Linked DNA regions of Arabidopsis thaliana. The protein of the gene in region 1 interacts with the protein of each later gene in a pairwise test. Each region holds a gene or a part of one and is shown in the gene's direction. Other genes may lie near its edges.

The links.
Region 2: the proteins of SAC8 (region 1) and PTR5 interact in a protein complementation assay, tested with the Arabidopsis thaliana proteins (one large-scale study listed by BioGRID).

The regions. Positions count from the first base shown.
Region 1 is NC_003074.8:19,212,366-19,229,055, forward strand, and holds SAC8 (SAC domain-containing protein 8), read left to right. Parts: upstream 1-7,755; 5' UTR 7,756-7,871; coding exon 7,872-8,022; intron 8,023-8,157; coding exon 8,158-8,232; intron 8,233-8,322; coding exon 8,323-8,450; intron 8,451-8,552; coding exon 8,553-8,644; intron 8,645-8,724; coding exon 8,725-8,782; intron 8,783-8,894; coding exon 8,895-8,951; intron 8,952-9,030; coding exon 9,031-9,064; coding exon of another isoform or gene 9,065-9,156; exon of another isoform or gene 9,157-9,202; coding exon 9,203-9,283; intron 9,284-9,362; coding exon 9,363-9,469; intron 9,470-9,818; coding exon 9,819-9,905; intron 9,906-9,986; coding exon 9,987-10,064; intron 10,065-10,237; coding exon 10,238-10,302; intron 10,303-10,523; coding exon 10,524-10,622; intron 10,623-10,771; coding exon 10,772-10,871; intron 10,872-11,234; coding exon 11,235-11,343; intron 11,344-11,451; coding exon 11,452-11,524; intron 11,525-11,856; coding exon 11,857-11,950; intron 11,951-12,047; coding exon 12,048-12,131; intron 12,132-12,438; coding exon 12,439-12,505; and 4 more. Other genes in the region: ATG2 (metallopeptidase M24 family protein), read right to left, coding at 425-578, 671-820, 916-1,000, 1,110-1,203; EM1 (Stress induced protein), read left to right, coding at 2,453-2,570, 2,756-3,096; G4 (UbiA prenyltransferase family protein), read right to left, coding at 3,936-3,998, 4,094-4,141, 4,226-4,302, 4,666-4,810, 4,900-4,975, 5,054-5,115, 5,212-5,295, 5,370-5,435 and 6 more; ACX4 (acyl-CoA oxidase 4), read right to left, coding at 13,288-13,410, 13,496-13,588, 14,070-14,241, 14,333-14,409, 14,531-14,690, 14,984-15,093, 15,197-15,256, 15,366-15,439 and 5 more. UniProt on the Arabidopsis thaliana protein: Phosphoinositide phosphatase that hydrolyzes PtdIns(3)P and PtdIns(4)P.
Region 2 is NC_003076.8:54,999-69,211, reverse strand, and holds PTR5 (peptide transporter 5), read left to right. Parts: upstream 1-5,275; 5' UTR 5,276-5,431; intron 5,432-5,898; exon of another isoform or gene 5,899-5,937; 5' UTR 5,938-5,971; coding exon 5,972-6,080; intron 6,081-6,176; coding exon 6,177-6,394; intron 6,395-6,495; coding exon 6,496-7,046; intron 7,047-7,120; coding exon 7,121-7,955; 3' UTR 7,956-8,195; downstream 8,196-14,213. Other genes in the region: AT5G01170 (hypothetical protein (DUF740)), read right to left, coding at 9,191-10,897; AT5G01160 (RING/U-box superfamily protein), read right to left, coding at 13,485-14,213. UniProt on the Arabidopsis thaliana protein: Peptide transporter. Mediates the transport of di- and tripeptides. High affinity transporter. Involved in the uptake of peptides during pollen germination and tube growth.

The DNA.
Region 1 (16,690 bases):
AACTACAAACTCGTAGCAAGAAACTTTATTTTAAAGAACTTTCCCACATCAGAGTAACTACGGCCTCATTTGGATGCGAATCCATAACAATTACGGTCTTCATCCAGAAATCTTTTCCCAAAACAATTTACATTTGAAGTCCGCTAAAAAAAAAAAGCATCGTGCAAGACCAAGAGAGGAAAACCTTAGACAAAGTTCCAACATCTCATAGTAAATCCAACGAGGGATCAGACTAAAAATCAGAATAAGAAAAATCCCATCAGAGTAACTATGACAAAAAAGCATCATATGGATAATAATCCATAGCCATTTATTAAGTGTTCATCATCTGGGTTTTGTAAAACCTTGACAATCATTCAAGAGGCAGTTATAGTACCAAAAGCCTATAGTTTCAAGTTTAATGTAAGAGTAAAACTGATGATACCTTTTTTCCAGGACGTACGAGCCTTAGAGCAACATCAGCTGCAGTATTTGCGGCAGCGATAACATCAGCCTTACGCCCACTAAGAGGCCCTTCTTGAAGAACATGTGTGTGACCAACAAGGGCAATGAACCCATCAATATGACATCCCATATCGCTGCAATTGAGAAACGCAAAACAACATCAGAAATAACACAGGTGAATCATACAGAAACATCTAAAAACAGGTATTACTTGAAGACAACTTACATTTTAACCATGTCACCATCTTCCAACACAGACTCATCACTAGCAAGCGGTGAAAAATGACCAACAGTGTTGTTCACAGAAATGCATGTAGGGAACGCAACACCTCTCTCAATCTTCTTCTTAGAATTCTTGTACATGCTTGCTGTTTGCCTTTAATACAAAAACAGAAGAAAGAACAAACACATAAATATCTAAGAGTAATCCAAGGTCGAATCTACATTAAGAACAAATTGAGATATACTCACTCTTTAATAAAAGAGTCTCCTTTCTCACAGATATCAACAATCTTAGCTTTTGGTTTGCATTCAGCTAAAACAACCTGTAACGCCTCTGCAATTGAAAACCCAACAGAAATCAATACTCGATAAAGCTACACCTTCAAAACCCTAAATCCAAATCGGACTTAAAACAAGAAAGGAAGAAAGAGAGGGTGTATTACTGTTAACGATCTCAGCGGCGCTCTTGTACTTGGTGACGACTTCAGGAGAGGTAAGACTCAGCTCCTTCTCGTCTCTCTCATCGTCCGAACTCATCTCTGATAACTCTCGAGAATCGAAACAGGGGAAGCAAAAATGTTAGGGTTTAAGGAGGAGCGATTGGGGGAAAACTGGTGGAGAAGGAGAGAAATGAAAGTGTTGGCTCAAATAAAGGTACTAGGGTTTTCGCTATGTGTGCTCTCTTCTTCTAACGATGCCGTTTTGGATTAATCCTGTAACGCTTTTTCTTAATTGCGTTACTTTTGTACTCCAGTATGGGCCGAAGAAGGGAAGCTGTTTCAGAATTGTGGCCACTAAACATTTACCCTTAACCGGGCCCATATAAGCCCACGTCAAGTGGCGCTTATACGCTCTCCGTAAGAGAGCCAACATTTGGTATGTAATGTTGCAAATTATTCTTCAAGACAATAAATTCAAATATAATTCAATATTGTCCAAATATAGTGATGTACTTCAGTTGTGCACATAGAAACTCCACTAAACCAACTTTTAGATAGATGCATTCACAAATTTTCAACAATGTCGCGAAAGTCTAATCCACACCAGATTCTAACATTTTAATTATTATATTTAACTATACATACTCTAATCAGCATGAGTCAAACGTGTACAATAGCCCAAGCATATAATAAGACCAAAGTCAAACTCAAATAAATGTCTCCAAACTCAAAACTTGAAAAAGACCTAATTATTACATGGTAGATATGACTTTGTCGACAAGTAAACCAACTAATCCTCGAAGCTACCTTCTCTTCCCAGTTATTATGTGTGATCGATTTATAAATCTCTTCTTCTAATAACACCTATATTTTTCTTATGATGTGAATAAATATAAAACTTTTAACTTTAAAACATATTTATCCGAAATATTGCACTTAGATTTCAAATAGATAAATAATAGTACTATCTAACTGATATTGAAAAGACCTAACACGGAAAACAGTTTTATAAAAAATCCCAAATGTGGGTAATTATCTTGATTTCTTGGGGGAAACAGAAAATGGATTAAGATTAATCGGAGTCGTGTCAAGCAGCTCGTTAATAACTGTAGCAAGTTGACTGAGTAAGCATCAACGTGTCATCTCCGTAAAGCCCATTATTTCTAGTCTCGCCGCGTCTTCTCTTCCACGTAGCACTTCACTTTTTCTCTCCTTTTGTTTCCTTTGGAACACAAACGTTTCTATTTATAGGAATAATTACGTCGTCCGTATCTGTGTCGGAACATAGATCCAAATTAAAAGCAACTTACTTAATTACATATCGTTCGTGTTTTTTTCTTCAAAAAATGGCGTCAAAGCAACTGAGCAGAGAAGAGCTTGATGAGAAGGCGAAGCAAGGAGAGACCGTCGTCCCAGGTGGCACCGGTGGCCACAGCCTCGAAGCTCAAGAGCATCTTGCTGAAGGTATTGCCGTAAATTACAACTTTTCCACACTCTTTTTATTTTCTTTAGTTCGTAAGTAATGGTTTTATAAGGCTAGAAACATTAGATCTTAATATCTTAAGATAAGATTAATCTACTTATTACGAACCTAAAGTTTACTCTATGATCTCCATGTTTCATGGAATGCATGTATGTACACTTGTTAGGAAGGAGCAAGGGAGGGCAGACGAGGAAGGAGCAGCTAGGACATGAAGGTTATCAGGAGATCGGTCACAAAGGTGGAGAGGCGAGGAAGGAGCAGTTAGGGCACGAGGGTTATCAGGAGATGGGTCACAAAGGTGGAGAGGCGAGGAAGGAGCAGCTAGGGCACGAGGGTTATCAGGAGATGGGACACAAAGGAGGAGAGGCGAGGAAGGAGCAGCTAGGGCACGAGGGTTATAAGGAGATGGGACGTAAAGGAGGACTCAGTACGATGGAAAAATCTGGTGGAGAGCGTGCGGAGGAAGAAGGGATTGAGATCGATGAGTCAAAGTTCACCAACAAGTGATAGTAGTTACGAGCTACTAGTGTCCGCTGCAACAGTCTGTTATATATCATCTAATAAGTAACCTGCTTGTAGGTTCCGTGTTTGGCAGCGTGGATTTTAACTAGGGTCTAATGTAGCGCGTTTAGGTTTTTTGTGTTTTATATGTGTGTGATATAACTATGTATGGCTTGTACTAACGGCAGTGTTGTACCGTTCAAATGGTATGCGGTTATGTTATGTAATGCGGTTGCCGGTTGGTTTTACTTCGTGTCTTACTTGTGATAGTATGTTGTGTCCAACAACGTGAGACTTGATATGTTAAGATTGCAGCATATCAAATGGCTGTAGAATAGAAAAAAATCAGGTAGTAATAACACAGTTTCAAGTTGTTAAATAACATATGTATAGTCTAGTCTTTGTAGTTTCTCAAATTAATTGTATGAAGTTAGTTGGGTTACTAGCTAGTTGTTAGATTTAGATTATAAAAAGTTTGAGGAAGTATCATTTTTGTATATTACTGTTTTTATGTGGATACATGTTTAGAATCAATACAAAAAGTGATGAAAATAGTTAAAATCCACTACAGAAAACAAAAACATTCTGAAAGCAGAGAAGTGACAGAACTAACATAAACCCCAATCCTCGATATGAGCAGGAAATGCAAAAATGGAGCGCAAATACGGTAACATCAATTACAATTTCTCAGCCGTTTTGCTAAATTGATACAACAGGAGTTGTTTCTAGTAATAACGGTACATACATTTTACAAAATCTTTTAAACTAGTTGATGCCATCACTTGCCCACATTTGATGTGTCAACACCTCTGCTTTCGACAAAACCCCATCAAAATACGCCTTTTTCAGTGTTGCGATGCTAATGCCGTTACAAATATTCCGAGCACCAAGAATGGCTGCGCGCTTGCCTGTAATCAAGATGAGTGTTTCAAGCAACTTCTGATTAAGAGACCTCTCAAAGATATTTCAAAAGAACACAAACATGTGTACTAAGTTGACTTACCTGGTACTTGACGTCGTATTTGACAGGGTCCTTGAGAAAGTATTTAAACTGCAGTTTATAGAAGCGAGTGTAGCAATCAGACGAGTGACAAGAATTTGATTAATTATAATGTGAGACTGTTAACGTCTTTACCTGGAACACAATCTGAGGAATGATCAAAGCAACCAACGCCAACGCATAATAAGGTTTCCCAGATGCTAATAGATATCCTGCAACCAAAATAGACATATACTAATGATGATCTCTACCTTTGATTTGGTTCTATAACAATGATTGTGTAACTCATCCACTAGTAAAAGTACAAATGAAGATATAAGTTCTGTTATTTCATGACACTGTTGAAAATACTTGTTTTAGAAGCATGAAATGAAAATCCATCAATCACACTAATGAAACATAAAAGTAGATGCCTCCTCTTCATTAGCTCATTTCATTAGAATGTACTTTTATGTTTTGCCTTTGTTGATTCAGCTTCATTAATTTGTGCTTTACCATTGGTGAATATCCAGTTGATAAGATCAAGGAAAAGAAATAGAAGCCACAGCTGCACAAAAACAGTGGATAGTACATACCGGCAACAGAAAGCTGAGTAATGTCTATAGCACCAACGCATATCCATTTTGCAGTTTCGGTGCCAAAAGCTACTGGGAGAGACTGAAGTCCTAATGCTCTATCTCCTTCAACACTTTTGAAGTCGTTAACAATGGCTATTCCTAACTGCATTATCACAAAGGTACAACATGAAGCAAGAGCATATTACAACAGATAACGAAAAAAGCAACATAAAAGGTTTGCCAAAAGAGTACCCCAGCTATGCTGTACAAGAGTGTTAGAACAACAACATCTGGCGTAAGAGTGCCAAACAATGCTTGGCCAGCCCACCTATCAGTCAAGTGAGCAAGAAACAAATCAATGAGATGAGAACAACGCCATATATTATTGATACACGAGATATCTTACCATGGCAAACTAATATAGCTTGCTCCAAGTGCAAAATTTCCAACCCATCCATTTTGTTTTAGCTGCAATGAGATCAGTTCAGATATCGATATTCAAAACTCCAAAACTTGGATGGAGTGTCTTATCACTAGAGAGTGGAAGTTAGGAATAAAACTTACCTTAAGAGGTGGAGCAGAGTATATATAAGATAGCAATGATCCTCCCAAAGCAAGATAGAAGACAGTGGGAGTGGTATGCCCTGCCTGATAAGGGAAGATTTTAGCAAATCTGATGTGCCCTTTAACTGTACTAGTTAATGTCAGAAGGGCCAACTTACCCACACATCTAATATTCCAGCAATACCAAGACCTCCCAATAATAGCACCCAGACTTGTGTAATAACCTGCATTTTAAGGAGTAAGGAGAAATCAGAATCACAAAAGAGATAAAAGCTCACAATGTTCTGTCTCAGTTACCTCTGGCTCTGATATTGCTCCAGATGGAATTGGACGATATGGCTCATTAATTGCGTCGATATCTCTATCATACCAGTCGTTGATTGTCTGGAAATCGACAAGTCTAGGTTATTGTAGCACCAAGCAAATGCACTAGAATAAGAACAAGTCAGCTTTTTGTTGTGTAAAACCAGACCTGTGTATAGCCAGTAAGACAAGGACCAGACATCATCATGCAAAGAATCGACTTAGCAACATCCTCTGGGGTCCAATGAAAGTTCCCTGCCAGAAGAAACAATTGGAAGGAAAATGAAAAAACTTTCTGTACAGTATTGCATGATCCAAAAGAGGTTCGTATGATTACCTGAAGCAGCAGCACCACAGACGACTCCCCAAACCAGTGGAGGCCAAGTGACTGGTTTTGTAAGCTGAAGACGAATCTTCCATTTATTCTGAATACAGAATATAACAACAAACTCTTTTTAGCTAACAAACAACATTTTCACATCATTTCTAAGCTAAAAACAAGACTTGTCCTCAAAAGAGATTACCTTTAGTAGGAAAATTCCTAAACTAACACATCATTATCCACAAATATGATAATTTAAAAGATTCTGAGGAGATGAACAAAATTACAGTTTCTTGAGATGCTCCTTTGATACCGAGAAGCTGGTTAATGCTTGAACCACCGGCTGGTGCCTTGTCAGGTGTCTGAGATTTAACTGCCGTCGGAAATTCAAACGCCACAGTGTTTGAAAAGAGAATTTTGAAGAGAGAGAAAATAAAAACAACTAAAAAATCATACCTTTATCAGTATCAGTCTCCGCCGCACGCACAACAAATCTCCGCCCTACGAGAGATCCACAACAAGATCAGTAAAAAAAAAATCGAAGAAAACATTCATCAATCTATCCAACAGAATGCTAACTACCGGGTGATTCGTAGATCAACGTCGAGAAACCAGAACGCCGGCGAGTGAACTCAACGGAATCCGAATTCCGAAGAGAGAGGACTCCGACTCGATCGACGGAGGTAACTCTGGAAGAGTGGATGGTGGAGACAGTGTTGAGAATCGAAGTCATAGAACCGACGGAAGAGAGAATCGTCTCTGGTGGTAGTTAAGCCGGAGACTGGAGTGGTGTGAGTCTGTGAGTTGCTGTTTCGGGAAACGAGTGGTTGTCCGTTACCGGAGATAAGTAATGTCTACGTTACAGTTTTGGCGGCCTTTGATTCAATAACTGCCATGTGGCACGATCCTCTTGGCAATACTAGTTGTGTCGGATGTTAGTTTTGTTGGACAAAGGACCTTCATTGAAGCAGAATGGGCCCGGTTTAAATCCAAAGCCCAAACAAAACCCATTAGGGTTTCATTGAAGCAGAATGGGCCCAGTTTAAATCGAAAACCCAAATAAAGCCCAAAAAATAAATCTAATATTAATATGGGATGATATATACCGGGTGAAATCATAAAATTTAACAATAAAAATACAAATACACAATTTTAAAAGCTAACCAAAACTAACAATATTAACAAAATAAATATAATTTCAAATTTCAAATCTTTTAATTATAAAATCATCCCGAATTGTATCATACATTAAATAATCAATAACATATATCTATAGTTGCTCAATACCTTCGGGGATTACTCTACTACATAAGTCGTCTTGATTGAATAGATTTCCTGATGTCTAGTTTTCCTACTGTGGAAATCCTATTTAGAGTAGACTCACTTCAATGAAAGCTATTACTTCTTTATTAATGACTATTAACTATTATAAGATATTAAGACAAAAAGAATAATAAATCTAACAAGGGGATTATGATACATCTAGTTGTAGTTGATATCTTAAAAACAAAAAATTCATGTATTTGATAAAAATATAAGCCCGTGATATATCTTTTAATATATATCCTATAAATATAATATTAACTGAAATAATTTTTTTAACTTTCTAATAAAAATATCAACCTTCAGTCTCTTCATGTTCCCTCAAGGCAAAATTACCTTCAAGTCTCTATTTTTACTACATGTGGAACAATCAAATCAAGGAAGAGTCGGTAGGTGATGGAGATTCGCTTTAAATGTCTACGTAACAGTTTTGGTGGCCTTTGATTTAACTACTGTAACAATTTGTCCGGACGAAAGACTATTGGGCACAGTTTAAATTTCAGGCCCAAAGAAGCCCACTAGTATCCGGTTGAGAGACACGTGGCAACAGTCAACTTTGAAGAAAAATAATGAACAATCATTGACATTTTTTTTTGTTTCTCCTGATCCAGTTCTTAATTGAACAAACTCCAACAGCATCATCATCATCATCATCCTTCAAATTATTTTTCCTATTTTGAAAAATTTATTTGAAATCTCATAATTTACGTTAATGGAGATTGCTCCATCTACAAGTAGATTCAAGCTCTACGATCAATTCGAGCTTCTGGAGTTTCCTGACAAGTACGTCGTCAAACCCATCGAATCGCCTGAGGAAGGCTTCTCCGTCAATCGGCGCGATGGCAATATCAAACCTCTTGATGGTAATCCACTCTTCATTCTCAGCTCTCTCCCTTCCCTGTTTTGGTTTCAAGACAAAATTTGGCAAGAGATGATATGAAGCAAGAGTATTAGGCTGTTGTAGTGTATTTGATGTTACTGTTTCTTTGTTACTGCAGAAAACGCATCTTCTGGGAGTCCTACTAGAGTCTCTACTATCTATGGCGTAGGAGGAACTATTAGGCTCTTAGCAGGTGGAAAATGTTTTTCAACATTTCTCTATGTACTGTGTTGGGATCCAACAGTGATTTTTATATGCTGGTTTCGATTTCATTCATATATAGGAACATACTTGCTAGTTATAACGTCTCGGGAGGAAGTTGGAAATTTTCTCGGTTTACCGATTTTTAGAGTTACGGCTATGAAATTCTTACCTTGCAATGAGGCTTTGAGGTTTGCTACTGCTCAAGAAGTAAGGTTATTGTGAATTTCAATCGATATACGATTTTGTAGGGGTTTTGGAGTTTATGAACAAGTTAAGTTGTCTAAAGAACTTGGTCACTGGCTTTTGCAGAAAAAGGACGAAACATATTTTAGGACTCTGTTACAAGCACTTGAGACAACCCCTGGATTGTATTTTTCGTATGAAACAGATCTAACATTGAAGTAAGTTTCACTATCTCATGATATTAAGAGTTTTAAGTAGTTCCGCGGCTTGAGTTAGATACATTCATCCAATTTTACAGTCTTCAAAGAAGGTGCAAGCTAGCTGAAGGTTGGAATCGTAAGCCTATGTGGAAGCAGGTTGTTTATTCGTATGATTTTTTATCTTTAAAAAAAGTATCTTCTTTGGATCCAGTGTCTGAATTTAAGTTCATCGCGTTAAAGTTAGGCTGAAGGTTTATTTGCTTGTCAGGCTGACCCTCGATATGTTTGGAACTGGCATCTTTTGGAGGACTTAATTGAATGCAAAGTAAGTTGTGTGGTTTAAATTTAATTGATTTTCATTCCTTGTCAAACGTTAATGATCTAACCTTCTCTTATTGTGGCAGCTGGATGGTTTTATTATTCCTATACTTCAAGGAAATATCCTTTTCTTTATCTTCTTAATCTTCTGTTTAGCTTGTTCTTGGACTGTTTATAGATGTAATGTTGCGTTTTTCAAATATGCTTTTTAATAGACAGTACTCCAATACATGTTGTTTGATATTAACCAAGGCTTAAGTTACCAAGTTGCTGAGCTAAAGCTCAAGAATTCTCCTGCTGTGGTATCGATAATGTCCAGGCGCTGTACACGACGTCTAGGTAGGGTTTAATTAGTTCTGCCAGAAAATTCAGTGGCATCCATGTTTGTTTGACAGTCTTATTGGAATTGGCATCCCAGGTACACGTATGTGGAGAAGAGGAGCCAATCTTGAAGGGGACGCTGCTAATTTTGTCGAATCTGAACAAATAGTGGAGATTAATGGTTTCAAGTTCTCATTATTGCAGGTATATCCTTGTTAGGATCTCATTCATGTGCAGTGTCTTCTTAAAATGATAGTTTCATGCTTCGATACTGGTTTATTTGCAGTAGCTGTGGAATTATATTTATTGATGATATGAAATGCTGTGTGGGGTTTCTTTCATAGCCCTGGAAAACTAATATCCTATGTAACTCATTTCAGCTGAATGGTTACACTGTTTTTTTAAAAATTTGATATGCTTGAAAATGCACTGTTTCATTATTTGGGTTCTTCATCTCTCAACTTAGTTTATTATACCTTGCTTTTCTCTTTCTCTGTGTTTAAGGTTCCCTTTCATTTCTTGCGATTGTAACTGTCTTGCTTTCACTGACTAGGTTCGAGGTTCAATCCCACTTCTTTGGGAGCAGATCGTTGATTTGAGTTATAAGCCACGGCTTAAGATAAATAAGCATGAAGAGACGGTACCTTTTTATGATTTTCTTACTAGATTAATTATATGATGTCCAGCACTCAATCTTAATAAGCTAAATTTCTGCCTCCAGCCAAAAGTTGTACAGCGCCATTTCCATGATCTTTGCCAAAGATATGGAGAAATTATGGCAGTTGACCTAACAGATCAGGTTAATTTCTTTGTTCCCCATTCCTGAAAACAAAATTAAATGGCACTAAACATATGTGCACTTTGAAATCTATGACATCTGAACTCCACCTCTAGTACAGTTTCTGCTCTGGAATTTTCACTTACTTACTTTCATTGTATGATTAACTTTGTCTCTCACACGTGACTTATTAGCATGGAGATGAAGGTGCATTAAGCAAAGCATATGCCACCGAGATGGAGAAGCTTCCTGATGTGAGGTAAAAATCTGTATGCACATCGACGCATTTACCTTCTACCCGTCAGTCTTATCATTTCTGTATTTGGTTATCGTTCGGGATACCTCTTAGCGTACACTGTGAATTTTTGCTATTTCGTGACACTTGAACATTTTGTCGTTTGTTTGGATATCTTTTACCTTCTCTTGATTCAAATTGTTCCTCGATCGTACACATCAAATTAATGATAGTTTATGACTCAGATATGTCTCCTTTGACTTCCATCAAGTCTGTGGAACTACAAACTTCGACAACCTGGGGGTACTGTATGAGCAGATTGGGGATGAATTTGAAAAGCAAGGGTAAGAATTACGGTTTTGGTTCTACTCATTTCAGATCTAGAAACTGAGTTGATATGGTTAGCAGTCAGAGGTTGTTCGTTTGGTTTAATTTAGCTAGCGCTGCTATATAGAGAATTTTATTTCACCTGCGACTAATCCAGGCTGAGCAGATATTTCCTTGTAGACGCAGACGAGAACATCCTAGAAGAGCAGAAAGGAGTTATCAGATCTAACTGCATCGACTGTCTTGACCGCACAAATGTTACCCAGGTTTGTTGAATTATTTCTTACTCTCTTTCATTTTCATTTCTAGTAGGCATCTTGATTGGTACGGTATGTTCTATACAACTCATGGGTGATTAGGTGGGACATGTAAAGCACCGTTGGTAAATCCCCTCCATTTGTGTCATTTGAGTTTTTGGGATCTTGGTTGTGCATTTACTAAATTGTTTGCGATAAAAAATCATTGTTTACATATTTAACTTCATGAAATATTGTCTCTGGTTGCACATAACGGCTAAAATCTACTTGCTGTAGAGCCATACAAGCTTGTTAGATGGTTGAAAACTTGTACTTTTCATTGAACTGCTTCTGATTGCAGTCAATATTTTTTTTGTTGTATCATATGAAAAGAGTTTCATGGGCCAAAAAAGTCTGAATCTACAACTTCAAAGGATCGGAGTGTGCGATTCCACAGAGTGTATATCCACGTTCGAAGATGATTACACAAAGTTCAGAACAAGTAAGTGGTTGTCACCATTTTCAAAATTTCAGCGCAGGTTCCAGTTATATAGCTGTAGAATATCTTCTGGCGTACCTCAAAAATTTAATCCTTTGGGTTCACTACTAGTTTGGGCTGAGCAAGGGGACGAGGTTAGTTTGCAATATGCCGGGACATATGCTCTTAAGGGCGACCTCGTAAGGTGAGTAATCTCTGTCTGTGATCCTTCTTAAGATCATATTGATTACAGTTGGCTTACAGAGTTACAGTCTTGTGATAGTGATGATGACTTCTTTTAACCATACATCAACATTGTTAGAAGTTTCCATGCTGTTCTCTCAGACATGAATACACTTGCCATATTACTAGACTGATAACCTGTAATAACAAGCTTGAGTTCTCTGTTTACCTTGGATGCAGTTTTCTCTGAATTGGTATAGGCCTCAGCTTGAATCAATACAATAGTTTAGAAAGACCATGTAAATGATAATATTTACATATTAGCAATATACGCTATGGGGTATTTTGGTGCAGGTACGGGAAACAGACTATGACTGGAGCTATCAAAGATGGCCTCAGTGCAATGTCGAGATATTATCTGAATAATTTCCAAGATGGTGTAAGGCAGGCAAGTTTCTTCTGCAATTATAATTGAATCAGCAAATTAGAGGTGAGGTATGAAGATGAGAAACTGAAGGTAGAGAAAACAAAATTTTATTTTTCAGGATGCTTTGGACCTCATAAGTGGTCGCTACACAGTGGGCACACACAGCCCTTCACAACTCCAGCCCATTGGATCACAACCGTCTGTATGTTCCTCCTAACCGCTTAAGATTGTGTGTTTGCATTATATGTTTTCGTTTACTTAATAATTTTTTTTGTCAAATGAACCCACTACCTTAAACATACTAAAATGTTTCATTAGTTAATTGCAAACGTAAACGCCAAATGAAAATGGCGTTTGCATTTGCATTTGCATTTGCACTTTACTGGAAAACTGCAAATGGTAACAAACTTAGAAATTGCATTTGAAACGATGGAGACCATATAATTAAACAATTTGGTCAAACAGAAGATGCTGACTGGATTTTGTTTGTTGTGGTGAAAATAAAACAGTTTCTGCCGGTAGCATCAGCATTGTTGATAGGTGGTGTAACAGTGACATCTTTCACAATTCATCAAGGTAAAGGCTTGTAATTCATATGATTATACATTACATGATTGTATTTTGATTGATTTGTTTGTGTATGTGTGTGTGTGTTGGGTGGAAAAAACAGCGGGAAGAAACACGCAGCAGTATCTGGCGTCGGCTTTGTGGGCTGGAGTGACTGCAGGAGTTGTGGCGATGATCAAAGCCAATGGAAGGCACTTGACTTCAAGGCCTCGTCTTTGCCATCTAATTTGATTCCATTTGAATTGAGATTATTTGCGTCTCACATTCTTCCCAAAACCCACACCCACTGTCCCTCTTTGCTTTCTCGTTCAACGTCCGCACAAACCAAAAATCGAACTAAAAGTCTATATTACTGAACTTCTTTATTCAATGCAATCAGTTTTATAACCCAAAATAATATAAGAAGATTTCTTCCAAAACATTTTTTTTTGTTACAGGTTGGTAAATTCTTGCGAAATAGAAAACCAACCGTCCAAAAACCGAACTCTGGTCAGTGTAAACAAAGAAACACAACTTAATTGACACTTTGACATTCACCAAAAGTTATTGACATTGGCAATTTGAATTAATAAAAGGTTAACAAATGGTATTTCCCCCAGTACAAGCCACAAGACGAATCCATATTGCAAGAAGCAATAACTGGATTAAGTTTTGCAACAACGATATTATTCCCCCATTGGACCCTAAATCTTTTTGGGTCAGATTATTTGGCACATTTGTAGATGTAAACCCCACATCACAATATCAATACTAACCAACAGACAACAACAAACAATGGACAACCTTTTAACTTAGAGACGGCTACGTGTAGCCGGTTTGAAACTCGCAATACCCGTTACTTCCCTCCCTGTTACTAAGGTGTTTATATCATAAGTCCCTTCGTATGTATAAATGGGTTCAAGGTCACAGAAAGCCTGCAAATTTTCCAAATTCATGACTTAACCATGATCTTTCTTCAATAATAGCCAACAACCAAGTCAAATATGAAGATTTGCTCACCTTTGCTACCAGAAAATCTGCTAGAATTCCATTCCCACCAAGTAATTCCCGACCTAGCGAAGCAGTTTCTCTCGCTTTTGATGAAATCCATGCCTAGTGGAAACACATAATTGGTTATGCAAACGATATTATTCAATGTTTACTGAGCTATGTTTGATTAGTAGAATAGATCACAAGCAAAATGTATCTTGTCTCAATACAATATTTTCTGCATTTCGATAGTATAATAAGCATGAACTTCCTGCATTTCGATACAATATTTTCGCATACGATTACGACTATACACGAATACCAGGAGACGTGACTGGTCTCTAAGCGCAATACAGATACATTCACAACTTTCCCTAATCTCTATACACAAACACCTTTATTGTATGTTGCTACACATTCTATTCAAGGAATCAAGTGATGCATCTCATAGAAAATATGACAGGTCTTCTACCAAATGGTTCATAACTCATGAGCACCTATCGTTGTTTAAATATCTTACCCCTACTTATTTCGGCTAGCGTACTGACTATGTAATCAGACAACATGTTTCTCTATTTTGAAAAAGGATTTCTTGTTATAATACCTTTCCTAAACTGGCTTGACCTGGAGTCATCTGACCCGTCTCATACAGCTTGCAGAGACGCCAACCCATTAGAAACATCGCTTGAACGTTACCCAGCATCTGCACAAGCTTCTGTTGGTTTAACTGGAAAGCAGCCAACGGTGCTCCAAACTGTTTCCTCTCCTTCAGATACCTTGAAACAATACATATTAATGGAAAACTGTAAGTAACGAAATGAAAGCTCATACTAGGATTACAGAGATCTGGCGGTTTCCCGGAAATACCTGTGGCACATATCGTAGATTCCCATTGATATGCCGATTGGTTGCCAGGCCACCATTACACGTGAGACAGCCAGAACCTATTCAAGTGTAGACAAACATTTAATTATAACAAAGAAAAGAGGAAGATGTGACGTTTTTCTGGTGATAAAGTATTTTAGAGCATTTTGGGGTTATGTAGTAGAATTATCACAACAGTACCTTGCTGGTGTCCTGAAAAGAATTTACCCCAGGTAACCGATCCTCATCTGGAACAAAGACATTCTGTAGTAGAATATCTCCATTTTGAACCATACGTAAACCTATTTTATTTGGGATCTTAGTAGCCTTTAGGCCAGGCGCATCTTTCTTGACTATGAATCTGAAAGAGGGTTGCTGATAAGTTTCTAATGCAGGAAATATAGTCTATATAAGATGAATGAGGAGCCAGACATTAGTCCAGTATGCACTTGATAACGGTCCTTACCAAATTTATTGTTCAGAACATTCAATTGCGTAGCAACCTATTTAGCATTCTTTATGAAAATGGATTTTTACAGCACTACCATAAGATGAAATCAAGAGCCACCTCATTACCTTCAGTTTTCTGGGAACGACCTCTACACCTAAGATACAAAATCTGAGAGATCTAAGAAAGCCAATAATCTGACTTACCCGTTGATTTGGTTAGTTGTTGTATTCCTCGCAAAGATGATCAACAGATCTGCAAAGGTGCTGTTTCCAATCCAACGCTTTTGTCCATTAATTTTCCAACCTCCTTCAACCTGATACAGTAAACCAGTCAAAACAATGAAACATTACTGTACTTGCATAAGTATAGAAAGATAGATACAAGTAACTGAATACTAGGAGAGAAGGCAGCCCCACCTTTGTTGCAGTCGTTCCTAGACCACTTGCATCGCTTCCATTGTCGGGCTCTGTCAAAGCCTTTATAGAAGTCCAATATAGGTAATGGTATCAACAGGATGTTTGTATAACACAATAAAACACTATTCAAGGGATGCAAATCATCTAATTCCAAGATCCACGTACTCACCCAACAAGCCACAGTATTCAATTGAGCCAAAGAAGGCAAATACTTCTCCTTCTGTGCTTCTGATCCACAGAGTGCTATTCTTGACAAAATCAAAGGAAATAAACTTATGCAAATCCTAGAATGATCTTTACTAGGACAACTAAATATTAAACAAGCTTAGAAATAAATATTAGGTGCTCTTACCAATAGTGAGCATGCCCAAAGAAGAATGCACCAAAATGAAAGTCGAACAACTTGCATCAACTCTAGCTATTTCTGCTGTGGCAATTGCATTGGCGGTGATGGAGAGACCAGGACATCCATAACCCTAAGAAGTCAAACCAAATCAATACTGAAGCTTCTATCCACATAATCAAACAAACAAAAACCCAGAGACAGGCATTGCAAATTACCTTGATCGAGCCACCAGCAACACCCATAGCCCCAAGCTTTGGAGTGATATGGAATGGAAATTCTGCTTTCTCCCAGTACTGAGTAAAACCCAAAGGAAGAACAATGAGATAACGCTAACTATACAATCAAAGCAAACAAAGAAAAAACAAAACACGTCGAACATGAAGATCTACCTCTGTCATTATTGGAGCAACTTCTTTCTCCATGCATTCCCTCACTTTCTTCCGGATAGCTTGTTCTTCCGGAGTCAGTAGATCATTGAAATGATAATAGTCTGAAGCTGTAAACAGTATATCCACAAATGAGACAGAGAAACACAATAAATCATCAAAATATAAATCCTCTGGAAGAAGAAATCCTTACTACAAGGTGGAAATGTAGAGGCTGGAGTTGCTTGAGGAAATGCTACAGACATTTCCATAGGTGGCAAATCAAAGTATGAACTCTTCACCTTCTTCTCATTACTAGCTGCAAGACCAAAACACAATTCTTATTTCATAATCAATATTCTCAACACTCAAAACCAAAACGCAATGCATAATCTCGTTTCTAATTCCTATATACAACAGATTCCATAAGTTTCAACAATCATGATCCCTAGCATCATCATCTGCAAATGAAACAGTCTGCGAAAAATTCACCATCTGCGTCAAATTACGGTAAACTAACACGCAAAACAAAATCTCATTGACCTAATCAACACAATCACCTGTTTGATCGAAATGATCGACACATAAATCATCCAAAACGACAAAAAAAAAAAGATCGAACGAGCGAGCAAAATAGCTGCATCAAACGATGAGGAAGACGAAACAAGTATACCGTGAAAAAGGAAGAGTATGGGTACGAAAACGAACCTCGATCTGCAGATGAAAGCACCGCCATGGTTATGATAGTGACGGAGAAATTGTTCTTTGGCTTCGTGATGATCG
Region 2 (14,213 bases), on another chromosome or scaffold:
TCGTGGCAATTTCTACGGCCAAGGAAACCACTATGGTGGTAGAGGCCGTGGGAACTATGGCCGAGGTAGGGGTAGAGGCCGTGGTATTAACAAACCGCGAGGAAAGGCTAAGTCCGTGTGCTATAGGTGTGGCATGGACGACCATTGGGCAAAGACGTGCAGAACCTCTAAGCACCTCATTGAGGCATATCAAGAGATGATAAAGCAAAAGGGACCCGAAGCAAATTTGGTTCATCTCGATGGTGAAGGGGATTTCGACCACGAGAAAGATGACCTAATGGATTATGAGACTTCGGACATCTTGGGAGAATAGACATCTAATTTTAAATTTGATTTGTTTGCTTTGCTTTGTAGTTTGATTTCTATTGCTCGATGTCTTGGATTTATTTATTTTTATGGAATTGCTTTGCTTCATTATTGTTTGCTTTATCGCCTAAGATATAGTTCTTGTCCACATTTAGAAATGGCCGAGGACAAGGACATACTCATAGTGGACAGTGGCTCAAGCCACACTATATTAAGAGACAAAAGATATTTTATAAATCTAACATTGAGAAATGCCAACATTAGCACTATAGCGGGTATAGCGAGTCTCATTGAGGGCTACGGCCAAGCCCATGTACTCTTACCAAACGGCACACATCTTGAAATAAGTGATGCCTTGTATTCACCCAGCTCAAAGAGGAGCTTGTTAAGTTTCAAAGACATACGTCTTAATGGTTTCCACGTTGAAACAAAGGGTGAAGGGAATAGAGAATTCCTACATATAACAGAGATCGCCCAAGGACTTAAGAGAGTCCTAGAAACTATACCCGCATTGTCCACTGGTCTTTACCATACTAAGATCAACATGATCGAAGATAATTTGGCAATGAACAAAGAGTTCATAGAGGAGTTCACTTTGTGGCATGACCGGCTTGGCCATCCGGGTCATAACATGATGCGAAAGCTAATGATAAGTTCAAAGGGGCACACCCTAAAAGAAAAGAGAGTTATCCCAAAGAAGCTCACGTGTGCTGCATGTGCACAAGGGAAACTCATAATAAGGCCATCACCGGCAAAGGTCAATAAAGAGACCATAAACTTTCTGGAAAGGATACAAGGGGACATATGTGGACCAATACACCCACCATGTGGGACGTTTCGATACTTCATGGTCCTCATTGACGCATCGACAAGATGGTCACATGTTTGTCTGTTGTCCTCTAGGAACCAAGCATTTGCTAGGTTACTGGCCCAGATCATACGTCTGAGAGCCCATTTTCCAGATTTTCCGCTTAAGACTATACGTCTAGATAATGCCGGTGAATTCACGTCCCAAGCGTTTAATGACTACTGTATGTCCATGGGGGTAAGTGTGGAACATCCCGTGGCACATGTACATACACAGAACGGATTAGCGGAATCCTTCATTAAACGAATCCAATTGATAGCTCGACCATTACTTATGAGGTCGAGGCTTCCAGTAGCCGCTTGGGGACATGCTGTATTACATGCATCGGAACTTATTCGTATCAGGCCATCTAGTGAACACAAATATTCACCATCCCAATTGTTAACGGGTCATGAGCCAGACATATCCCATCTAAGGACATTCGGGTGTGCCGTATATGTACCAATTGCTCCACCACAGAGAACAAAGATGGGACCTCAGAGGAGGATGGGAATATATGTTGGATTTGATTCTCCCACCATTATAAAGTATCTAGAGCCGACAACGGGCGATCTATTTAAGGCTAGATACGCGGATTGTCACTTCAGTGAATCCGAGTTCCCTGCGTTAGGTGGTGAGACGAACAAGCTGGGTAAAGAAATAAAAGAGATAGCATGGAATCAAACATCCTTGAATTGGCAAGATCCTCGGACTCTGATGTGCGATTCAGAGGTCCATAAAATTATACATTTGCAAAAGCTAGCTAATGAGTTGCCAGATTCCTTTGCTGACCCAAAGAGAGTTGTGAAATCGTACATACCAGCTTGTAATGCACCAGTACGTATTGATATCCAGAAGGGAATCAATGTAATTGCTACCGAGTCTAACCCACAGAAGAAACGTGGTAGACCAATAGGTTCCAAAGATAAAATTCCTCGAAAGACTAAGAAAGGTGCAATGGGAACCGAGGTAAAGGAAACCATAGACATGGCCGCGGCAAGTCCTAAGGAACCACCAAATGAGATTCGGGACGCCGAAGCTCATGGTCCTGAAGGAATTGATAATGATGAGATCTCAATAAACTACATCATGTCTGGAATAAAATGGAACCGAAAAGAAGTCGACGTCGACGAGAAATTTGCATATGAGGTAGCATATGAGATAAATGAGGATCATGAACCCACGTCTATAATAGAGTGCACTCAAAGGTCAGATTGGCTTAAGTGGAAAGAAGCCATTGATGTGGAGTTAGGTTCATTAAAGAAAAGAGATGTGTTTGGTCCAATATTGAGGACACCATCTAATATAAAGCCAGTAGGACACAAGTGGGTCTTTGTGAGGAAGAGAAATGAAAAAAACGAAATCGTGAGACATAAGGCACGGCTTGTGGCACAAGGATTCTCACAAAGACCGGGAGTAGATTATGAAGAGACATACTCCCCTGTGGTGGATGCAACGACTTTTAGATATCTAATAAGTCTGGCAATAAGAGAGAACCTTGACTTGCGGTTAATGGATGTTGTAACCGCATATCTATATGGTCCACTGGATAATGAGATATATATGAGATTACCAGAGGGTATTGAGCTCAAAGGAAAAGATAAAAATGGGTCTCGAGACCAATACTGCATAAGGCTGAACAGATCACTTTATGGACTGAAACAAAGTGGGCGCATGTGGTACAATAGGTTAAGTGAGTACTTAGTCAAAGAGGGCTATAAAAATGACCCCATCAGTCCATGCATCTTCATCAAGAAGTTTGCTAGCAAAGGATTTGTGATAATAGCAGTATATGTGGATGATTTGAACATCCTGGGAATCTCTGGGGAAATCGCCCAAACAGTCGAATATCTAAAGAAAGAATTCGAAATGAAAGACTTAGGCAAGACAAAGTTCTGTTTGGGATTGCAGCTTGAGTATGTAGATAAAGGAATCCTTGTGCATCAAAGGGCATATACAGAGACAATACTCAAGAGATTTAATATGGACAAGGCTCACCCATTGACCAGCCCAATGCAGGTGAGGAGCCTAGGATTGGATAGTGATCCATTCGGTCCAAAGAAGGACGATGAAGAAATTCTCGGTCCTGAAATGCCATATCTCAGTGCCATAGGAGCGTTGATGTACCTGTCTAGCCACACTAGACCGGACATATGTTTTGCCGTGAACCTCCTCTCTAGATTCAGTTCTTGTCCGACCAAGAGGCACTGGGAAGGAATCAAGCATTTGCTTCGATACCTACAAGGGACAATTGATTTTGGTTTATATTATACTAACCATAACAAAGAAGGTTTAGTTGGTTTTGCTGATGCAGGATATCTTTCAGATCCGCACAATGGAAAGTCACAAACGGGTTATGTGTTTACTCATGGTGGAACCGCGATATCCTGGAGATCAATGAAGCAGACCATCACGGCCACTTCCTCTAACCACGCGGAGATATTGGCAATGCACGAGGCCAGCCGCGAGTGTGTGTGGTTGAGGTCAATGACTCAACACATACGAGCCGATTGTGGAATGGTCGAAGACAAGGAGCCGACCATCATATACGAGGACAACGCGGCATGCATTGCTCAGCTCAAGGAAGGATACATCAAGGGAGATCGGACGAAGCACATTCTGCCCAAGTTCTTCTTCACGCATGACTTACAGAAGGATGGTGAAGTTAAGGTGGTGCAAGTACGTTCAAGCGACAATTCAGCCGATCTATTCACCAAGGCATTACCAGCAACGACATTGAGGAAGCTCGCGCATCAGGTTGGGATGCGGAGGCTTAAGGACTTATAGAGATGACCAATTCAGGGGGAGTAATGCGTGCTGTACTCTTTTTCCTCACTATGGTTTTGTCCCGAAAAGGGTTTTCCTAGTAAGGTTTTAATGAGGCAGCATTCCCCTAGCGTATTACTGAGATCCCGTTGGCATCTACACGGTTATGTCATCCAAGGGGGAGTGTTGTAAACCACTTGTTGGATGGACTCCATAACCGTGGCCCATGTCTTTGGAGGATAGGTCCGTCAGCCCATTGGTGTGACGGCCCATCGACCAGTCGGCCCATCAGTCCATCGGTCCATCGGCCCGTCGGCCTGTCGGCCCGGTCCATGGAGAGAAGCCACAGTCAGTCCGGCCCGTAGGTCCGGCCCATGGAGACTATACTTAGGTCGGTCATATACTTAAGTAGTTATGGGCTTTTGTAACCTAGCCCATTAGACATGTAACCTCCTCAAGTATGTATATATATGTGATGTAACCTCATTATGAATCAATAAGAAACAAGTTAGTTCTTCACAGCATCAATCGTAGAAAACAATCTGAGAAAACATAACAGAAAATTATATCAATTTTTTTTCTTAAGTACTATTAAACTTATTTTCATAGTTCTATAGTCTCTCAACTTTTGTTTTTTGTTTTTTCGTGGTTATATTAACATCTATTACAACTTGTTTACGCATTTTGTTTATTCCATATATAGGTCACAGATAATGCGTGTGCATTAAGTTTTCAAACAAGTTTATTAGTTCTACTAATCAGGATATTAACAATTCTTTTGCGTGGTAGGTTTGTTTAACCTCTTGTGAGTTTATGGTTAAAAAAGTTAATCTTTCTCTACCACTTAACACTTCTTTTGTGTGGTAGGTTTGTTTTGACTAGAAGTTGTAGAAATAGAAAAGTTGTACAGAGATTCTCAATCTGCTATTCTCTTGAGTCGTTGAAATAAATTTCAATTCTATGATCGATGTGTCATGTAACCGTTCCATGAATCTGGACACAATCACAAAAAGAATCCATAAGTTATTTGGTGTATTAATTATCCGTTTTTTTTTTGTTCACAATATTGATTATCCGTTTATAGATATGTTTCCTTTTGATCAAAAACAAAAAGATATGTTTCCATAACTATTTCAATTTTTTGTTAGGAATTAGGTAATTTTGTTATAATTTTTGATTCTTTAACATATAAATGAAAGGGATTCAAACCTACACAACCACAATCTTTAATGATACATTACTATGAATAGGATTTAGCATCCCCACATCTTCTCAAAGATTCAAGAAAGTTATTCAAAATTCAACAAAATAACAAAGAGAAAGATAATAAATGCGAGGACGTAACTGGTAAAATCACGAAACTGCCTGATTCACCTTCACTATTCAGAGTGTTTCCTTATAAATATCTATCACACGGCGCAAAACGAAACGCTCAAGCCCTCAAGTTTATCTTCCTCAGCCGTGTAGTTCAAATCCCGGCACAAAACTCTGTCGTCGCTTCCCCGAGAAAAGGTAAACGAATCTTTCACCAACGATTAACCGTTTCTAAATATTAAATCTGGTTATCTTTGATCTGTCTTTTTTTTGATTCTATGAACAATTTCTGTTACTAGTAATCACACATTTTCGGGAGGAGTGTTCTTAGATTTATTTTCATTTTCAAACGAAATTTGCGATTGTGTGTTTTCGAGTTTTCAGATCCGTAGCTTTCTTCGACGAAATTATATATGTATGTATGGCTTCCGATTTTGTCAGTTTGTGTCTAGAAAACGCGTTATGTTTTTGTCATGATGCATGTAATGGACATTACTTTGGCTATTGCTCATAAAATAAATCGATGTTTTTCAATTCTGTTTCTTCGTGGAGTCACACATATATATATATGGAGGCTTATCTGTCTAAATCCGATAATTAGTCGTAGAAATATCGTTGTGTAGATTTTACTTGGCAAAGAAGTCATCTTTTGTCCTTTTTCTCAGTAAATCAGGTCAAAAATTCTCACATTGTTGAAAACTCAGGGGTCACACTTAAACTTGTCGAAACCAAACAACAATGGAAGATGACAAGGATATATACACAAAAGATGGAACTCTTGACATTCACAAGAAACCAGCCAACAAGAATAAAACTGGAACCTGGAAAGCTTGCAGATTCATTCTTGGTATTGTTCAAACCTTTAATCTTTTGTTGTAATAAAAACCAAATCGTTTTTTTTTGTTCTGAATTTGATTTGATTGTATCTATGAGCAATTGGCAGGAACTGAGTGCTGTGAAAGATTAGCTTACTATGGAATGAGTACTAATCTCATCAACTATCTCGAGAAACAAATGAATATGGAAAACGTCTCTGCTTCTAAGAGTGTCAGTAACTGGTCTGGAACATGTTACGCTACTCCTTTGATCGGTGCTTTTATCGCCGATGCTTATCTCGGTCGATACTGGACCATCGCTTCCTTTGTCGTCATCTACATTGCCGTAATAATTTACTCTTTGCTCTGTTTGCTCTCAACGTGAACAAAGAAAATCACAGAATCTTGAAACTGTTTGCTCTTTTTTTTTTTGTTTCTGTAATTTAGGGAATGACGCTATTGACGATATCAGCTTCGGTTCCTGGTCTAACACCAACCTGCAGCGGAGAAACCTGTCACGCAACAGCGGGTCAAACCGCTATTACATTCATAGCGCTTTACTTGATCGCACTCGGAACTGGAGGGATCAAGCCTTGTGTCTCTTCCTTTGGTGCTGATCAGTTTGATGATACAGACGAAAAAGAGAAAGAGTCTAAGAGCTCTTTCTTTAACTGGTTCTACTTTGTGATCAACGTTGGTGCAATGATTGCTTCCTCTGTTCTCGTTTGGATTCAGATGAATGTTGGTTGGGGTTGGGGTTTAGGTGTTCCCACCGTCGCAATGGCTATAGCCGTCGTGTTCTTCTTCGCCGGAAGCAACTTCTACAGGCTGCAGAAACCAGGAGGAAGTCCTCTCACAAGAATGCTGCAAGTCATTGTGGCTTCATGCAGAAAATCTAAAGTGAAAATTCCTGAAGATGAATCTCTTCTCTACGAGAACCAAGACGCCGAAAGCAGTATCATAGGAAGCCGCAAGCTCGAACACACCAAAATATTAACGTAAGGCACAAGCAAGTCCGGTCTGTAATTTTGTGTTGTTAGGTTAACTTTTGGCTCACTTCAAATCATTTCAGGTTCTTTGATAAGGCAGCAGTGGAAACAGAGAGTGACAACAAAGGAGCAGCTAAGTCGTCTTCATGGAAGCTATGCACAGTGACACAAGTAGAAGAGCTCAAAGCACTGATCCGTCTCTTACCGATTTGGGCCACAGGGATTGTTTTCGCTTCGGTTTATAGCCAAATGGGGACTGTGTTTGTACTACAAGGCAACACACTGGACCAACACATGGGACCTAACTTCAAAATCCCTTCCGCATCACTCTCCTTATTCGATACGCTTAGTGTCCTGTTTTGGGCACCTGTCTACGACAAGCTAATTGTTCCCTTCGCCCGGAAATACACAGGTCACGAACGCGGATTCACACAGCTTCAACGGATTGGAATCGGGCTTGTAATCTCCATCTTTTCTATGGTCTCTGCGGGAATCCTCGAGGTCGCAAGGTTAAACTACGTTCAAACACACAATCTTTACAATGAAGAGACTATCCCGATGACGATTTTCTGGCAAGTTCCGCAGTATTTTTTGGTGGGTTGCGCCGAGGTTTTCACGTTTATAGGTCAGCTTGAGTTCTTCTATGACCAAGCTCCTGATGCTATGAGGAGTCTCTGCTCGGCTTTGTCGCTCACCGCAATTGCATTTGGGAACTATCTGAGCACATTTCTGGTGACATTGGTCACTAAAGTCACGAGATCAGGTGGAAGACCAGGCTGGATCGCTAAGAACCTCAACAATGGTCATCTTGATTACTTCTTTTGGCTATTAGCTGGTCTGAGTTTCTTGAATTTCTTGGTCTACCTTTGGATTGCTAAATGGTACACTTACAAGAAAACGACCGGGCATGCGCTTTGATGATACAAAAAACATAACGATGGCTGCAATCACGAATTCTGATTTGAAATTAGTCGCAATGTTTGATAATCTCGTTACTGAAACATATTTACAGATATTATTTTTATTTTTCATAAACAAGCAAGTTTGAAGTTCTTTGCTTGAGTTTAGGTTACAAGATACTACTTTTGAATTCGACTATCCTTATTGCTTTGTGGTTGCAGAGTTCAAGGGTTTGTATTTAACACAAGCGTTGTGCTGAGATTCCGCTAGTGAAACCATTTCTTTGATTGCAACTAGAATAGTAGTGATGAATCCGTGATCAAACGCTCTGAGACTCGAATGCAAGCTTTCAAAGAACCTGCAGGATTGATCAGATTAGAGAGACAGTGGAGAATGGAAATACAAGCAAAGGTTGGCTGATTTTGAATAGAGAATGAAAAAAGCAAATAAAGGGAAAAAGGTAGCAACAAAGATCATATAACTTGATTAATAGACCCAAGTTTGAAACTTAACACTTGGGCTTGATACGTCAAGCTACTTTTACATTTGCTATTGCATCGTAAAACAACAAATCTCAGTGATGTTTACTCAAACCACCAAGACCGATGTGTGTGCTTATGCTGCTCACTTCAAAAACCATTTGTTATGTTTGTTTAAGCTACTTAAAGATTCAATCTCTATGCAAGCTTGGTAATGCAGACACAGAGAAAGGCCTGGAACTCAGACTTAGCTAGTTGGTGAAGTTAAGAGAAGATGATACTAATGCGGTTTGATTTTTGATGCAAAGTACGAGAAACAGAGAGAACAAAAGCTAGCCAGAGACTATAAAGATGTTACCTTAGTCATTATCCAGCCTTGACTAATTCAGTTGTTCCATACCTCAAGTTGTTCTTCTCTCTTAGACATTTCGTCAAACACTTTCAAAGCATCACCCAAATTTCCGGTTTTTACAATTCTCAATCAGTCTCTTGTTCTTACTTGCATTCTTGCAATCGAATCAGCTCGATGATCCCATCCAATCATAAATCGGAGGATGTGGTGGAAGCAGGGACGGCGGCGGAGTGAGTGAGAGAGAGCATAACTCAAAACTCCGAGTGTTTATAAGTTTAGGTTTTTGAAAACGACCCGGTTCCAATTTGGTCCGATTAACTCCGGTTAAGTAGATATCCAATTTATTCACAAAGATAATTAGAGAACCCCAAACCAAAACCTCACATTGCTCCCAATAATTAAAATGAAGAGGGACACTTTGGTCAATACAGCCTCATAACCCTCCTCGCTATAGAGTGGCCGTGACTATTCGCCTTAGCCGCCGTCTTCTCCCACCCACCACCACCACCACCGCCTCCGCCTCCACCACTACCACCGCTGGTCTTCCAGCTTCTCCTCATCGGAGTCAAATAAAACCTCAACATTCCGTTCTCTCCATCTTTGGACGAATACCTCGAACTCTTATTCCTCGCCGATCCTCCACCGGAGCTTCGCCAGCTCACATTGCTGTTACTCCTCCTCATCTTCGGTCCTCCTCCTTCTCCATTCCTCATCTCCGGCCATGATTCCGATAAAGACCTCTCAACCATTCCGGCGCTGTTGGATCTGCTGTACCTATCTTCTTCTTCATCGTCCTTACCTTTTCTGTATATAAACCCTAAAATGCTCCATTTTCCCCACCGTCTCGATTTCTTATCGCCGTTTTGATTCCCTTTGTTCTCCGCTGTTTCCATGGAATTTGAGTCTATTGTTGTTGTCGAATTTGATACCGATTTGACATCCTCTAGCTCCGTTACAATTTTTCTAATAGAATTGGATCTGTCGAGGCTCTTCCGTCTCCGTGACGACGGAGGTCCAGTGTAGTAGTCTCGAGTTTGATTGGATCCGCCTGGGATTATGATAATCGGGTCGGAGTCACCGCTAATCGGTTTAATTGACGGAGACGATGGAATCTGCATGTCTGATCGATTCAACGGAGCATTTTCCACAACTGATAACATCGATGGCGGCAGAGGAACCCTAGCCGCCGTTGTCCTGCCGATTAAGTGTCCATCCCACGACGCTCTTGGCTCATCTAATGAGTAGCGAGAATCGTCCATTGAAATCCGACCTATATCGACGGAGAATCTCCCGGCGTCAAGAGAGAATCTCGGGTCGGTGTCGCTTGATCTCCGGCCTACTCCGATTTCAGACTGTGGCCGTCCTCCGCCGACACCGTTTCTCGGCTTCTTCACCTTCTGCTTCTGCTTCCATTTCTGAAGCTTCTTGCTGAAAACAGAGGCCGCCGAAAAGAAACTCCCGGCGAAATCTTTCACCGACGGTTTCTTTGTTTGTGAGTAGAGATCCATGTAATCCTTCATTGGCTTCAATTCCTCTTCTTCCTCACCAATTTCGCTGCTTTTTTCCTCAACTATCTCGCCGGGATCTTTCTCACCGTTTTCTTCATCCTCCTCAATTTCAGCTTCTTCAGTCACCTCTAAAACTATCTCACTCACGCTAGACTCCCTAGCCTCCTCCTCGATTTTATCGACGGAGGCAGCTTCATTGATGGGAAGGTTTCTTTCGTCGTCACGAAGTCTGACGTCACAAGACCGACGCTGTGGCTCAAACCCACCGGAAAATCCTTCGTTGTTCTTTGCGGAAAAGGACTTTGTACGTCGGAGCTCCGGGAAGAAACCGGGTCTGACCCGACCGTTTCCGTTGGAGTTGTTGGTACCACTAGAGGAGGGCTTGAAGAGAGCTTTTAACGAAACAGCGGAGATAGAGGGAGGTTTCCGGGAAGAAGAAGACGGTGGCGGAGCGGCGTTGTGATCTAAGACGGAGAGGCGGTCGCAAAGACAAGAAGGACAGAAACCGGAGAAACGCTCTTCTGGGTGGAGATCACATGATGTAGATAAGCGATGCGGTTGAGAAGGCGGAGCTAGTTCGTCGACGGCGGTGACGGGAGCTTGGTCGGCGGAGAGATTCATAAGAGGAAAGGATGAGTGATAAGACTTCTTTCTCTTCGTCTCATATCATCAGTGTCTTGTCTGCTTAATTGCTTAGAGGGGAGAGAGATGGGAAGAGATGTTATGTCTGAAACTTTCGTCTTTTACCAACGGACATTGAAAGAGAAAGGAGATGAAGAGAAATAACAAACAGTTATTTATTATTTAAAGAAATTTAAAATATTTAATGAAATATTTTGCAGGTGTCAGATTAAATCTGCGCTATTTTTTGTTTTTAAGAAAGAAGGTTAAATATTGAGTCTGACAATTTTAATATAATAAAAACAGTGCTGTGATTTTATGGTTAATGGGTTGATCGATCTCTCTGCCATTCTGATATTTCTGTTCTTTGAGAAAAACAAAAAAAACGAACAGCCAAAAAAAAAAAATGATTAGAGGGACAACAATTTTTCATTGTTGTCCATCAAAACATACAAAAACTATCAAATCTCAATCAATTTCTTAATATAAACATTAGATTGAAGTGTATATATTGATTGATTAATGTAAATGCTGAGAATATCCAGCTACACGTGTGCTTATACGAATTTGTTTTTCTTCTGAACAACTTTATTTGTACTGGCTAAGCTTCTCTTCTTTTTGTTGTCAATACTCGCATCACTTTGCAATTTGCATGGGGTTGTCGCTACGATATACTATTCGTTTTGCAACAAAAACAAGCAAACCACCATTTACGTCTTAATTTCAGCTGAAAGAAATAAAATACCCTTGACAAATTTTGTTTTTTATGAAGCAAAAAGTGAATTTTCAGGCTTTGTCCATTACCCTAAAGTCGTATTTAAATTTAAAAACTAAGAGCCAAGCAAAAGTAGAAAAGCAGAAAAAGCAATTCACGCCATCAAATCTTATTTGTTGTTTGGTCTCTCTATTCACTATTCTCTCCTGTTTTCCTTTTTCTTATAACATTTCCAATCAATCTTATTATTTACCCAAAATTAAAAAAATCTTGAACACTATCTTTACTTTGTATATATATATATATATTTTCGTATACTTTTACCAAACAAAGCATGAAATCTTTGTTGAAGCGTGTGCATACATACATTTTCGTACGTGTTAGGCGTATTTTCATAATTGTATTCGCTGGTATTTATCGTTCTTGTCTTTGTTGGTTATCAAAGATCTATGTCGAGAACTTTTTACGTGACGTGATTATTTCCATCAATTGACCTCAACGCAATCAATGCCATTAATGTGGGCTTTTTACTTATATTTTCACCAATCAAATAAGCTTTTTTAGTCTTTCCTAAACAGGAGTATATACTTAGAAAAGGGAACTTTAAATTACGTGTAGAATATAAACTTATATTGAGAAAAAGTAGCAGACCCAAAAAAAAAAAACTAATTATGATAAAAAAAAACTAATTGCAAGGAGTTGACGCAACTTTTGGACACTCCTGATGAGTGGCCCGCTTTTTCTTCTGAGTTAAAAAATTTTTATTCTTTAAAGCCTAACTTTCCTCGTTTTTTTTTATCTTTTATTCCACGTTTAAACAATGTTTGTGCTGATTGTCTTGCTAAGAAGGCAAGAGCACGAGGTTCTATTTTTTCCCATGTAAGCTTTTCTACTCCGGACTGGTTTTCTCTAGAAGAAAACCGCCCGCTTTTAGCTTAAATGAATGACCTTATTTTGTCGTAAAAAAAAAAAAAGAAAAGAAAATGAACTATATCCTACATTTACATTCTCTTTGGTTGGTCATAATGATTGGTGTGATTAATCATGAAAATTACGACAATGATTATAGCTTTTACATTTTGAAAATTTATATGGGGATCGTAATAATTCATAGAAAACATGGGAAAAAGTGTCTTAGATCTCAGTTTTCTTCTATTCTCATAATGTGAAATAATGGTGTCTTGCAAATATTGTTATGTATCATTATGGTTCATAATTGGAGAATCCATTTGAAACGAAATTTCTCATAGCCACACACTTATCAATAACTGGTTCAGTTCAATTCACATGATTTCTAGTTTAAAACTAACAAATATGAATAAGTTATTTGATAATTTTATACTTAACTAGCTAATAGTATATTTTCGTGTGTGTTTATGCTAGAGAATAAATGCTTACAGAAATTTGAACTTGGTGCTGAATAGTGAATACATATGTAGAGTGAAGGAATCCCAATAAAGAGACTGTGAAATATTGTCTGTAAGCATAGCTGTGCCTAAGATTAGTGAGATCATCGGCGGTGTTTAGAAAAAATCTCAACTCATATAATAACCATCATCATCATCCTCCCAAAACAGTAAAGAAAAAGAGCTAAAAACCAAAATATCAATCTTAGTTCTTTCTTTATCACAGTGACACAGTGGGTGCAATCTACGATGGTTGTTCCTATAAAATGGTGTAAAACCTTTGGTTCAACCCAAATCAGTTTGGTTTTTCCGATGGAATTTTTGGCACGGTTTTGGCTCGGTTGAAATTGGGTTTACTCGAATTACATGTTAGACCAACAACAAACGACACAGTTTTTAGAAACAAAAGTACTTGAAACTTTCAAACGACGAGTTTAACATTGCACAAATTCAAACTAGACTACTCTTACTCCTGCCCAAAGCCATCACGGTTCTCTTGTGGCCACCCAAAACTTTGACCGTCTCTACCCCGGTTAACCTGCTGGGTCGTGTGAGGCGGTGCCATTCCGGGATTCCATGATGGAGGAGGATACGATCCTTGGAAATTCAGATTCGTCATTGGTGAAGGCGGGGGATACCCGAGCAATGAACTTTGTTCTGATCCGCCGCTCTCTGTTCTTGTCATCTCGTACTGAGCACCGTTAAAGAATTGTTGAGATGATCCACTCTCTGTTGTTGGATACGAAGGAAAACCAAACTGCTGTGGTAAACCCGGGTTTTGATTCATTGGAACGGGCAAGCTGGGCGGTTGCATAAGATTCATAGGCTGGGGGTAGTCTGGGAACCGGATTCCTGGTTTAGGACTAGCGGTTTCGAATCCAGGAGGGCGAGAGTTATCGCTATCTGGAGGGTAATTCTGGACTTGACTAAATCCAGACTGTGACTTTGCAAATGACGCCGACCTGTTTAGTTCACGGGATTGTTGCAGCTGGGATCTTAAAGGAGCTCGCAAGGTGGATTCTGAAGCTGAAGACTGCTGCATTGTGCTCTGAACATCTGACTGGTTACCATCTTCTTTCTCTGCATCGGCTTGTAATAGGCTTCCATGGAGGTCATGGACATGGGCTTCAAAGTCAAGTTTCTTCAGGAAAGACCTAAGACAATGAGGAGCTGCACAGATGAAGATCCCTTCCAT